3 linked regions of the Alligator mississippiensis genome follow. The protein of the gene in region 3 purifies or fractionates together with the protein of the main gene of each other region. This does not show direct contact. Links are inferred from orthologs where the notes say so. Each region holds a gene or a part of one and is shown on either strand. Other genes may lie near its edges. The genes, in order: PRKAG2, PARS2 and PRKAA1.

What was found.
Region 1: the proteins of PRKAA1 (region 3) and PRKAG2 purify together in Homo sapiens (affinity purification with mass spectrometry; 8 studies listed by BioGRID and IntAct, counting the BioPlex papers as one, with this or other methods). This does not show direct contact. The link is inferred for Alligator mississippiensis from reciprocal best matches to the Homo sapiens genes PRKAA1 and PRKAG2.
Region 2: the proteins of PRKAA1 (region 3) and PARS2 purify together in Homo sapiens (affinity purification with mass spectrometry; 3 studies listed by BioGRID and IntAct, with this or other methods). This does not show direct contact. The link is inferred for Alligator mississippiensis from reciprocal best matches to the Homo sapiens genes PRKAA1 and PARS2.

What each region holds. Positions count from the first base shown.
Region 1 is NC_081828.1:207,041,388-207,045,131, reverse strand, and holds the start of PRKAG2 (5'-AMP-activated protein kinase subunit gamma-2), read right to left. Parts: upstream 2,354-3,744; 5' UTR 2,305-2,353; coding exon 2,203-2,304; intron 1-2,202. UniProt on the Homo sapiens protein: AMP/ATP-binding subunit of AMP-activated protein kinase (AMPK), an energy sensor protein kinase that plays a key role in regulating cellular energy metabolism.
Region 2 is NC_081828.1:11,064,385-11,068,128, reverse strand, and holds PARS2 (probable proline--tRNA ligase, mitochondrial), read left to right. Parts: upstream 1-1,441; 5' UTR 1,442-1,750; intron 1,751-1,886; 5' UTR 1,887-1,896; coding exon 1,897-3,333; 3' UTR 3,334-3,334; downstream 3,335-3,744. UniProt on the Homo sapiens protein: Mitochondrial aminoacyl-tRNA synthetase that catalyzes the specific attachment of the proline amino acid (aa) to the homologous transfer RNA (tRNA), further participating in protein synthesis.
Region 3 is NC_081826.1:275,805,296-275,809,039, reverse strand, and holds the start of PRKAA1 (5'-AMP-activated protein kinase catalytic subunit alpha-1), read right to left. Parts: upstream 2,288-3,744; 5' UTR 2,243-2,287; coding exon 2,113-2,242; intron 1-2,112. UniProt on the Homo sapiens protein: Catalytic subunit of AMP-activated protein kinase (AMPK), an energy sensor protein kinase that plays a key role in regulating cellular energy metabolism.

The sequences.
Region 1 (3,744 bases), on a different chromosome or scaffold from region 3:
CACCCTGTAGACCGCCAATCTTCCCAAAAGCTTAACTTCACTATCCCAGAACAGATGCCTCACATGGGCAGAAGGAGGGGCAGATTCAGCTCAGAAAGCAGTGGCTCTGAAAGAAGTGGGTATATTATGTTCTTGGTTCCTCCCACCATACTCATCTGAAACAGGTACAATCCTTCCACAGTGACCCAAGACAAAACAGGCTTTTTTCAAGCTCATCAATTATTCCCACTGTTTAGGTAACTCCTAAAAAAAAAAAAAAAAAAAAAAGGAAAAATCTGTAACAGAGAACCTTTACACCTTCCATTCAGGTATAACTACTGCTAGCTACATTGTTTTGCCCTTATATGTAATCCCATTTTCATGTAGTTTTTAGACTTTTTCTGCTTCTTGCTAATGATTGTCAATGCTTTCTAGGGCAGCTTTACCAAATGGCTCGGATTAACATCACTATGATACCAAACAGTATCAGACTTTTAATCTTTATCATTTCTTTCTTGTAGGTCTCTCCCTTCATGTTTTCTCTTCCATCTTGCTTTCCATGCACACCTTATTCTTCCCTTTCTTTGGCCTTACTTCAAAGATCTCAACGAGCAAGAATTAAGTCTCTCAGCAACAGACGTGATCTTGCAGCTAGACGAAGAGGAGGAGGATAAGCATAATAAAAAATACTGCCTGATGAAAACTCCCTTGACAACTACAGAAGCACTGACAGGCGCCACTGAAATAATAGAAATCATGCTCCAAAACAACAGCCAAGAAAGTGTTATGAAAGAGGAGAGGGAAAAAAACCACAGTCTAAATGGATCTTTTCAAATGCAGATTCCACTGTCAAACCAGAAGGATGAGGGGAAAAAAAACACTCAACACAATTAAACCGCAACATACCAGAAAATAGAAACCTGCTGATAAATATATAGCCACACCTGAAATGTCTAGGCCCTTTGATCCATTTGTAGGAATGCAGGCCCCAATTTCACTAAAAGAGGGAGGGGATCTATCCGCTTGGCAAGGGGAAGGAGAGGCAGGTCTCAGTTGCTCCTAGCTAAATCAGTGTTGAAACTCTGACTGCCTTGAGCGACAGCAAGATCGGCTCTTTAGCAGCAGATATTCACATATCTAGCATTTGCCAAGTGACAACCGACATTAGCAGGCTGTTCAAGGGAGGCAAAAAAAAATTAACGGACATGGAAAATGAATTATCTTCTTTGTCTAAAGGTTTTCCATTGAGGACAAAATTGAGGCTGGAGAAGAAAGGCAGCCTTGAGTTTTAGGGAGAAAAAATAAAGAGCCAAAACATCTGACCTCTCTTTTTAACTCAGTCCAAGACACTGATTTGGAAAGTCACTTGGGGCATTTGTACACATGCTTGTGCGGCAGCACTGGGTGCTTTTGAAAGCACGCGGCGCTGCGGCGCATACAAATCTGTACAAGCAGGAAAATGCGAGTCAACGCTGACGTTTTGAACTAAAACACATCAGAGGTTTCTTGCGCATTTTGCCACTTATCCAACTGCACGCGAAGCAGCACGGCGCACGTCAGTGCACGCGAAAAGGTATGTGTATAAATCCCTCTATGCCTCAGCTTCCCCATCTGTAAAATGGGAATAATCGTATGCTTCAAGACCATCGGTTGACGGTTGTTAAGTTGAGAAGTATTACCGATATCTAGACACCCTAGCGACAGACGCGTTGAAAGCCCCGAAGCAGAGACGGGATTCGTTTCGCCTGATGCCGCCTGCGCCGAAACGCTGCGGGACGGGAAGTCGGCGCGGGGCGGCTCGGGGCCTCGCGCCCTCCCGAGAGCGGACAGCCCCGCGTGGACGCGCGGCACGCAGCCCCACGCCGCCCTGCGCCCATTCGACACCTCCACTTGTCTGCACCCACCAACCACGGGAAACCTGGCACGGAGCATCCGCTCCCGGCGCCTTGCTGCGGCCAAGCCGGGCAGGGCAGGGCAGGCGGCGCGGCCGGGCGCCCCGGGCGGGTGCGACGAGCCCGGCTCTCGCAGCACAAACAGGAAGAAACTTTCCCCGCGGGCGGGCGGGCGGGAGGCGTGTCGCATTTCCCTCGGTGGGATGGAGGGGCGAGGCAGGGCCGGTGCCCCGCACTGCCCCGGCGCGGAGGGGCGCAGCTCGGCCAGGCCTGGCCCCCGAGCCGAGCCGAGCCGAGCCAGCCGTCCCGGGCGCGGCGCCGAGGCACTTACCGGGATGTGCACCCGCAGCGCGCGCTTCTTGTGGCCGGGGCCCTTCCTCCCGCCGGCGCCGGCCGCCTCCTTCCCGGCGGGGTCCATGGCGGCGCTGCCCATGCCTCCGCGGCCCCGCACCGCTCCCCCGGGCGACAACCCGCTACAGGCGCCCGGCCCAGCCCCGGCTCCGGCCCCCGCCCCCGCCCCCGGCAGGTGGAGCCAGGCGCCGCCGCCGCCTCGAGTGCAGGACGAGCCGCGCCCCCGCGCCTTGGGCGGGCCCAACGGGCCTCCCTCGCAGCGCCCGCAGGGGCGCCGCGCCGCGCCTCACGGCCGCCCCGAGGGCCGGGCTGGGCCGGGCCGGGCCGGCAGCAGCGGCCCACGAGTGTCGGTTTGAAAACAAAACGGCATTTTCAAATTTCCATCCCAAGCATGCCGGATTTGCGAGGTTTTACTACATGTTTTGTTCGTATTTAGAGGCCCCTCATAATGCCAGGCTGCGGGCTGTAGTTTACTTAGCTTGTGCCTAAGTCTGTTTCCGGGCCGAGGAGGTCGGTGCTGGCGGATCACCCACCCCAGGCTGGTAACACCGGCTTCAGCGAAGCCTGGGGCGCACAGCGGAGTTGGTGGAAATGCGAACGCTGGCTGTGCTTTTTGGCAGATCTGTGTTTTAGGGCATTAGAAAGTGCCCCCACACTCCATTTTCACTGGGAGCCCGGTGTGTAACGCCAGCATCCTTGTGACGCCAACGTTACCAGCATGGAGCGGGGGATCCTCAAGCACCAAATGCGCTGGACCGGACGTTGTGTGCGGACACCCGACTCTCCACTCCCACCACGAGTGCTCTGCTCCCAGCTGAGGAAAGGCCTGAGATCTTGCAGTGGTCGGAGGAAATCCCGTAGGAACACACTGAAGGCAGACCTCAAGAAACCAGATGCCGACCCCAAGAGCATGGAGGAGCTGGCTGGTGACTGACTCCAGTGGCGCTGCAACCTCAGCCCATTTTGAGGTAAAATGTCTTCTCTCAAAGCAGAGGAAGGAAAGAAGAGGAATCCCTGCAACTTCTGTGGGAAAATCTTGTGGCTCAAGGATTGGACTTTCAAGTCATCTCAAGAGACGTCAATGAACTGTGATAGAGATCGTTCTCGAGCTGACGAATTGCCCATGACGAACTCAGAAATTGCTTAGTGTCATGGGGAAATCTGGGATTTTGCAAAAGCGGGTGCAGATGGTGTGGCACATCGTCCTATGTGACAACACATTTTTCTCCAGTTAACGATAAATTAGAAGCATTTTTAATATGGGAAGGGGCTAGCACTGTATCATTCAGTTTAAGATCAAAGCCAGAACAAGTATAACGATTGGAATCCACACTAATTTGCTAGGATATAGATTACATTTTTTTAAATATCCAACACAAACTGGTCAAAAAATAGTCAAAAGATACTGTATCGTTACTCCTGTAGTCAGTTAAATGTACATCTCTTAGTCAGAGTCATAAAACGAAATCTAGCCTTCTTAAGCATCTTGACAGTGCTTCCAATATGATATTCGCTGTCAGTC
Region 2 (3,744 bases), on a different chromosome or scaffold from region 3:
GGAGAGCTAGTTATGGTCACTCTAATAAGCAGTGGTCACTGCACACCAGCTGCCTAAGACTACACTGCCTTGTTTCAGCACAATACACATGAAAGTCAGCAATGATGCATCAATGTAGCTGCTGACTGGCTTGCTACAGGTTTGGCTGAGATGGTGGCACAATTTTAGCACTGCCCCTCCAACCTCTTCCCAGTCCTGAGCACTGCACGTCCCGTACTCTCCTGACCAGTGGCGGGCAACAGCCTGCACCTCCCCTAGACATGCTGCACTCCCTTCTCAGCAGCTTTCACCTGGCCCTGAGTAGAAATAGGGAAGAGATGAGCTATGGTTTGTTAGCGTCCCCGCTTGCCAAGGTATGCTTGTAGGAGGCAACTGCCTGAAGCGACTGTCCTCTCTTTCCTTCCCTAAAAACTCTTGTTCCCATGGGGGTCGGGCACAGTGTCCTTGCCTGGTTGATCTTCTCTGTGCCATCACCCAATCTGTTCCCCACTCCCTTCCTTCCTATCTCTTTACACGGCAGCCACGGCAAAAGGCGTGAAAGGCCCGGCACGCTCGGACCGTTCTCTTCCTCCCGCCTGGTTTACGGGGCAAGCTCCTGTACGCCGGCAGCTCTTCAGTAACAGCGCCAGTGCCTCCTGCTCCCCATCGTGGTGACGGTGGGGATCTTTTCCAGTCCTTGCTCCACTCACATTTCGGGCAGTTTCACTGGGCCACGTCCACTGGCTCTTTGGACTCGTTTGAGCACCAGCGGGCCCTGCCCAGCGCGGCCTCCCCTTGGTGCGCTCAGGCCCATCGCCCCCATCCCCGATTTCCCTTCCTTTTGTCCCAAGAAAGTAGCTGTTGCTTTAGTGGCCTCCCTTTCCAAGGGAGGCTTTAAACTTCGTCCCGGTGGGCAGCGATCCCTCGAAGGTAACAAATCCCCGGCGCGTTTCGCAGGCAGGGCTGACAGCCTGGCTTGAAACGCCCGTGCGGTGGCACAGACGGCCCAGGCGGTTTGGGGACGTTGGGGTGCTATCGACAGCTCCTGCCTCCAAGCTCTGCCCTGCTGCCAGGAAGGCGACTGATGATGTTTAATGGGAAAGGGGGGTTGCATCGGGCCAGGGAGCAGGGGCAGCAAGCAGAGCCCCCTGCAATTGCACATGCATGCTCAAACTGCAACCCTAGCAGCCCCCTCAGAGCTGGCCTTGCAAAACACCCCCTGCCCAGCAGGCAGAGCGCTCATCTCGGTTGCAACCCGTTTGTAGAGGCGATGCCCGCCCCAGCGCCCCCAGCCCCTGCGCAGTCAGCTCCAGGGAGCAGGACAGACAAAAGGATCATAGAGTTTGCCCTCCGAGCGGCAGGAGGGGTGGCAGGAAACCACCCCGCTAGCCGCCCTCTCTATGGTATGCTCCTTCCGCAGGGTGAGCATCCGCATCCGGGGTAGGGCACTGCGGTGTGACATGCGGGTTCGCTTTCATTCTGATTGGCTGGCGGCTCCGAACGCTTCCTTCCTGCAGGGAAAGCAGCGTGGTGGCTCTCCCGCACATGCGCGTGCGCTTCCTGTGCTCCTTGCGGGCTGAGCGGGGCTGCCCGGGGATCCCCGTGCGGAGCCAGGCTTCACCCCACGTTGGCTGCAGCTCGTGCATGTCGCTGCCCCCCGGGAAGCACAGGGTCTCGCTTCCAGGCACTTGGCCTCACTTTGCTTGTCTGTAAAATGGGTCTGTGACACCGCACAGCTCTTCTAACAGTCTTCCTGCTGCGTGGGTGCGAGGTGAGGTGTAAGCCCCGCGGGGGGAGGAAGGGAAGTGCGGGGTTGGTGGCTCTTCCAGCCCTTTGCCCTCGGTCGGGGAGGCGCAAAGGCAAAAGGACCTCAGTAACGTGATGCCCATGTCTGCGTCCTGCTGCAGGTTGTCCTCCATGGGCCCGCGCATGGGAGGGCTGCTCAGGAGGTGGAAGGAGTTGCTTCCCGGAGCACCGACCCACGCCGGGCCGGGGCAGCGCTGCCGCCAGGCGCACCACGATGGCTCCACCAGAGCCAGGCGAGCGGCTGTGTCCCAGCTCTACCAGCCTTTCAATCTTCGGGAAGACCACGCGGCGGACCCGGAAAGCAAACCCGGTGACCTGACGTGCAGAAGCCAGAAGCTGATGCTGCAGGCTGGCCTGATCTGCCCTGCCCAGAATGGCTGCTATTACTACATGCCCTACACCGTTCGAGCGATGGAGAAGCTCGTCCGGGTGATCGACCGAGCGATGCAGGGCATCGGAGGGCAGAAGGTCAACATGCCCAGTTTAAACCCTGCGGAGCTCTGGAGAGCCAGCGGGCGGTGGGATGTAATGGGCAGGGAGCTCTTCAGGCTGGCGGACAGACACGATCAGGAGTACTGCCTGGGCCCCACGCACGAAGAGATCGTTACGCATTTGGTTGCCTTGCAAGCAGCCTTGTCCTACAAGCAGCTTCCCCTCCTGCTGTACCAGATAACGAGGAAGTTTCGGGACGAACCGAAGCCTCGCTTTGGTTTGCTGCGCAGCAGGGAGTTTTACATGAAGGACATGTACACGTTCGACACCTCCGAGAAGGCTGCTCACCAGACCTACAGCCTGGTGTGTGACGCCTACTGCAGCGTGTTTAACCGCTTGGGACTTAGCATCTTAAAAGTCCAAGCAGACACGGGCAGCATTGGAGGGACCATGTCTCACGAGTTCCAGCTCCCGGCCAGCATCGGAGAGGACAGGCTCGTGGTCTGCCCAGGCTGCAACTTTTCTGCCAATGCGGAAACGATAAACTTTGACCTGACCGACTGCCCGGTTTGTCACGGAAAACTGACAAAGACCAGAGGGATTGAGGTCGGGCACGCGTTCTATCTGGGCACCAAGTATTCCTCTGTTTTTAACGCTACCTTCCAAGATGCCGAAAGCAAACACGTGCTAGCGGAAATGGGCTGTTATGGGCTGGGCGTCACTCGGATTCTGGCTGCTTCTGTTGAGGTGCTTTCTACGGAGGACAGAATCCGTTGGCCAAGCCTCATTGCCCCTTACCAGGTCTGCCTCATACCCCCGAAGAAGGGCAGCAAAGAAGAGGTGGGAGTGGCGCTGATGGAGAGCTTGTACGATGATATTGCTGATGGCGTGCCTCAGGTTAAAGGGGACCTGATACTGGATGACAGGGTTCACTGGACTATTGGTAAAAGATTGAAAGATGCTAACATACTCGGTTACCCGTACGTTGTAATAGCTGGGAAGAAAGTTTTGAATACACCTGCTGAGTTTGAAGTTTGGAGTCAGAACACTGGAGAGGTCTTGTTCCTTACTAAAGAAGGTGTTATTGAATTGTTAAGTAAAGTGCAAGTTCCCTAAATTTTGGTCTGCAGTCTTTGGTGTCTTCATGTGTATCCAATTCCATCAGCATGTATTCAGCACTATCTTTAAAAGTCATTTGAGGGCCAAATACAGCACTCATTAGAGAGGAAGCCTCACTGAGCCATTTGCAGCACGGTGCTAGAAATCGTGTCCTGAGCTAATCGTCATCAGATGGGGAATTTACTTTAACAAGAGAGTGATTCTTTTTTTATTATTATTATTCATAACAAAAACTCATGCTTAGTGGGGGACCTAAGAGCTTAATAAGCACACAGATCTTAAATGTGAATGTGCAGGACATTGGCTTGTACCTGCAGATTGCAGTCCTAATGCCCCTGGTGAGGTCAGGATAGGGAGGGGACTATTATGATTAGGTCTGCCTTTTCAGTGGTAGTCCCCTTCATGTAA
Region 3 (3,744 bases):
CAGAGCCAAAACTGAAGAGGCAAACCTGCCTATTAGCACGTATGTAAAAGGAAAAGGGAAGGGGGGGGGGGAGGGAAGAGGGGGAATACTGAATCCTGTAGAAGTCTCACCACAATGATCAACCAAAGGAAATTTTAAGCTTTGTCTTACTCTACCTTGCCTTCTGCCTAACATTTAAGGTTTTCACTTTTATACTTCTCCATCCTTGACTGCAGAAAGCTCAGAAGTAAAAGCATTCCTCTCTGTGGAGGCTGACTTGAAAACTTAAGGAAATGCCCCTTTTACAGTTTAGCAAAGTAGTCAAACGCCCTTTAGAGGTGCCCGCAAGTAAGAAAACTAAGCTGTCCTTAGGGAAACCACTCCCTCCAACAAGAGTAATTAAGAGTGCTGAACAACCAAAAAGAAGTCCTGCTAACAGAATGTCATGCCCTCAACAGAACTACAAAGAATTGGTAACTAGATGTCCCAAGACAAAAGATCACCAACAAGAGTCAATGCAATAAGGAACTACTTGTAATTAAAGCGATGTCTGAATGTCTCTTGAAACTTCAAAGCTTAATTTTATCCAGCCAGACGTTATAGAAAGGACTGGCGACAATTTTAGCAATGCAGAAATTACAAGGGAGTACCGTAATATGTACAACAGTTTGTTTGTTTGTTTTTTGCCAGCTAGACACAGGGTTTGCTAGCAATACCTGAAGTGCTGACTCTCATTCGCTTGTGTAATCGTAACAATGCTGTCTGAACCCTGGGGGAAATCTTTCTTAGGCATGTCTGCAGGTACACTAAGCTTTTTTTGTGCTTTTTATTTCAAGGCAAGAAGCTCCCCAAATATACTTGCCTTTAAGCATCTTAAAAATACTAAGGTTAAATCACAACTTCACTACATTCTGGATGTCTTTTTTGTTTCCCTAGCCATGCTTGGAATTTTCCCCCACACACACCAAAGTCAACATTGACTGTTTAAGAAGAAAAGCAAATAGTGCTTGGGTTATGGTTCAGTTCTGCAACAGTCCAGTGGTCAATTTAAAAAGCAAACCTTCCCTTAGAAGCCCCTAGTATTTAAAAAAGGCCCATATTTATTTTAACAAGCATGCCACAGACCTGTCTAGCAGATTTACAATCTAGAGCCTTATTTGAGGTGGAGTATGACTGCCACTAACCCTCAGCATGATCTTAAGAACTTCAAAACTTTTCCATTCCTATTTTTCCCACTTAGAGTGAAAAAACCTACCCATCTTGGATGGATGCCAAGTATCAGTGCTGGTGCAAACAAAACTACGAAATGCAAAAAGCCTTTTGAGCATCTCATTTCAGTGGCAAGAAACCTCAAAATATTACATGCAAAGACTATGTTTATTAAATGTGGTATTTGCCTTGCCTAACTCAGAAAAATGTTAATGCAAGTGCAGCACAGTCACTAGTAACTGCATGTGCAATGCCAGTCGTCAGCAAGTAGGTTTTCTTCTGATTTCAGGAAAGTGAAATCAAGCCATTTCGCCTCCGGAGAGGGGTTATTTCCTGCCATAAAACAGGAGGAACCACCCACTGACAAACCATTAGGTTCAACATTTGGTTCCTGCAAATGTTTGCAACATCCCAGGGACCGCTTGCACAGCCGGTGTGCTCTACTGCTCCAGCTCCAGAAAACCTTGGCTCGTCTGGTCTCCCACTGCCTGAAAAAGGGGCTTGTGCCCCAAAGCTTGCAGAGAGCTTTCCCCCAGCTATTTAGTTGGTTTAATAAAAGATATCACGCCTAAAGACGCCTGCCGGCTCTTCTTGTATTACTTTTGTGTGCTATAACGCTGAAGCGGGAAGCCCGTACCCACGCCCGCCCTGCCCAGGGCAAAGATCAACCCTGCGCCAAGAGCTGTCCCCGACACCCAGCGCCTCGCAGCCCACTGCCCTGAGCTCCCCCTGCGCACCGCTCCCACGTGCGGCGCTGGTGCCGGGACCCAGCCCCCACCGCACACCTCACTCTTGCAGCCTCCCCGGGACCCCAGGTCGCAGTGAGAGCCGGGCCCCCCGCACAGGCCCGGCCCAGCCCCCACCTGGGGGGCGGGAAAGCACGACCCCCGCCCCGCCCCGCCCCGCGAGCGGCCCAGGCCTCACCCTTGACCTTGCCGAAGGTGCCGACACCCAGCGTGTCGCCCAAGATGTAGTGGCCAATCTTCACCCGCCCGTGCTCGTGCTTCTGTTTATCCGCCGCCGCCATCTTGAGCCAGGAGCCGAGTCTGCGCATAGCGCCGGCGCGGGCGGGGGCAGGGGCGGGGAGCAGCAGCCGCAGTGCCCGCCCCCCAGAGCCGGAACCCGGAAGTGAGCGCGGTGCTTCCAGCCCTGGGCGCTCCCCCGGGAGGAACCATTTGGTGCTGGGAGGGAGGGATAGTGTAGAACCGTCCACCTGCGCGGGGGCAGGGACGGACCATTGGGGCTGGGGGCTGCGGACGAGCTCGGCCCCAGGGGGAGGGGCGCAGGGGGAGGAGTCGGCTCCAGCGCCCGGGTGGGCGCAGGGTCGGAGTCTGCCCGGTGCACGTGGCGCGCCGTGCGTCTTTATAGAAATGGCGTGGTGTGGACACAGAAATGTGTGCCCTGCTCCCCCCGCCGCTTCGGGTCCGACCCCACTCATCCCCCTTGCTGCTCCGGGTCCGCCTGGCCCGCATCCGCCTCCCTGCCCGCCGCTTCTCCCTCCCTGCCAGCTGTTCTGGTGGGGCAGGCGACACCACTACAGTGATCCCCCCCTCAGTCCGGGAGGAGGGGGAAGCCCCGCTACTCGGCAGCCAGGGCATGTTCCGCACCAGCAAGCTTCCCCGGTAGCCACGCAAACTTGGGCCTGTGCAGCCTGGGCTGCTCAGCCAATCACCGCCTGCCTTCGGGGGGGGCGCATGCAAAGTTGACCAGAAGTATTATGGACAGACGCATAGACTAAGCCTTTTATTACATTAGAAAGCCACCGACCCGCCCACGCTTTCCTTGACTGCTGCTCACTTCAGCTTAGACCAAGCAAGTGCCCTGCCCAAAGTATGCGTGTGTATCTGTAGCCTCCACTCCACACCCCACCAAACACATTTTGGACAAGCTACAAGGCAGGAACCTACCCTGCCACCTCCGTGGTAGCACCTGCACAAGGAGGCTTGGGAACTCACAATTTAGAATAGAAACCCGCAAGGAGGACACGCGCTACTTCTTGGACATAATACAAAGCCTGGGTTGTACACTCCTAGCAATGGGACTCCCACTGCCACTGAATCCAGTCAAACTCACAGTTTTCCAGGAGCCTAGCTGGCCTGTGACAGTGATGCAGTGACTTTTTTTTAAAGTCAAATTTCAGTGTTAGGGCCATGTTTGAACAGAAGGGCAGCCAGGGAGATTAAGTGTGGTAGCCTGTGTCTCGGCCACATTTGAGCTGTAAGTATCACATAATGTCTTTTCCCTGTTTTACACTCTTAGGAGCCATCCAAGATAAGAGGTGAGCTTCAAACAAACTTCAGGTCAACCAACAAGTTGTCAAGGCCAAAAGGGGGACAGGAGAGAGTCACTAAGGTTCTCCTGATCATGCATTTCCTCCGGAGTTCAAATATGAGAAGTCTTATCCACAGCACTAAATGTTGAGACAGCACATAAAGAACTGGCAGCAAAACCGCTGAAGGCATTATAGATATATAAACATCTACACATTATATGAGGGAAAATAAAACAATAATGCAAAGTGAAACAAATTAGGAGCCTAAGGCATAAAACAAACTG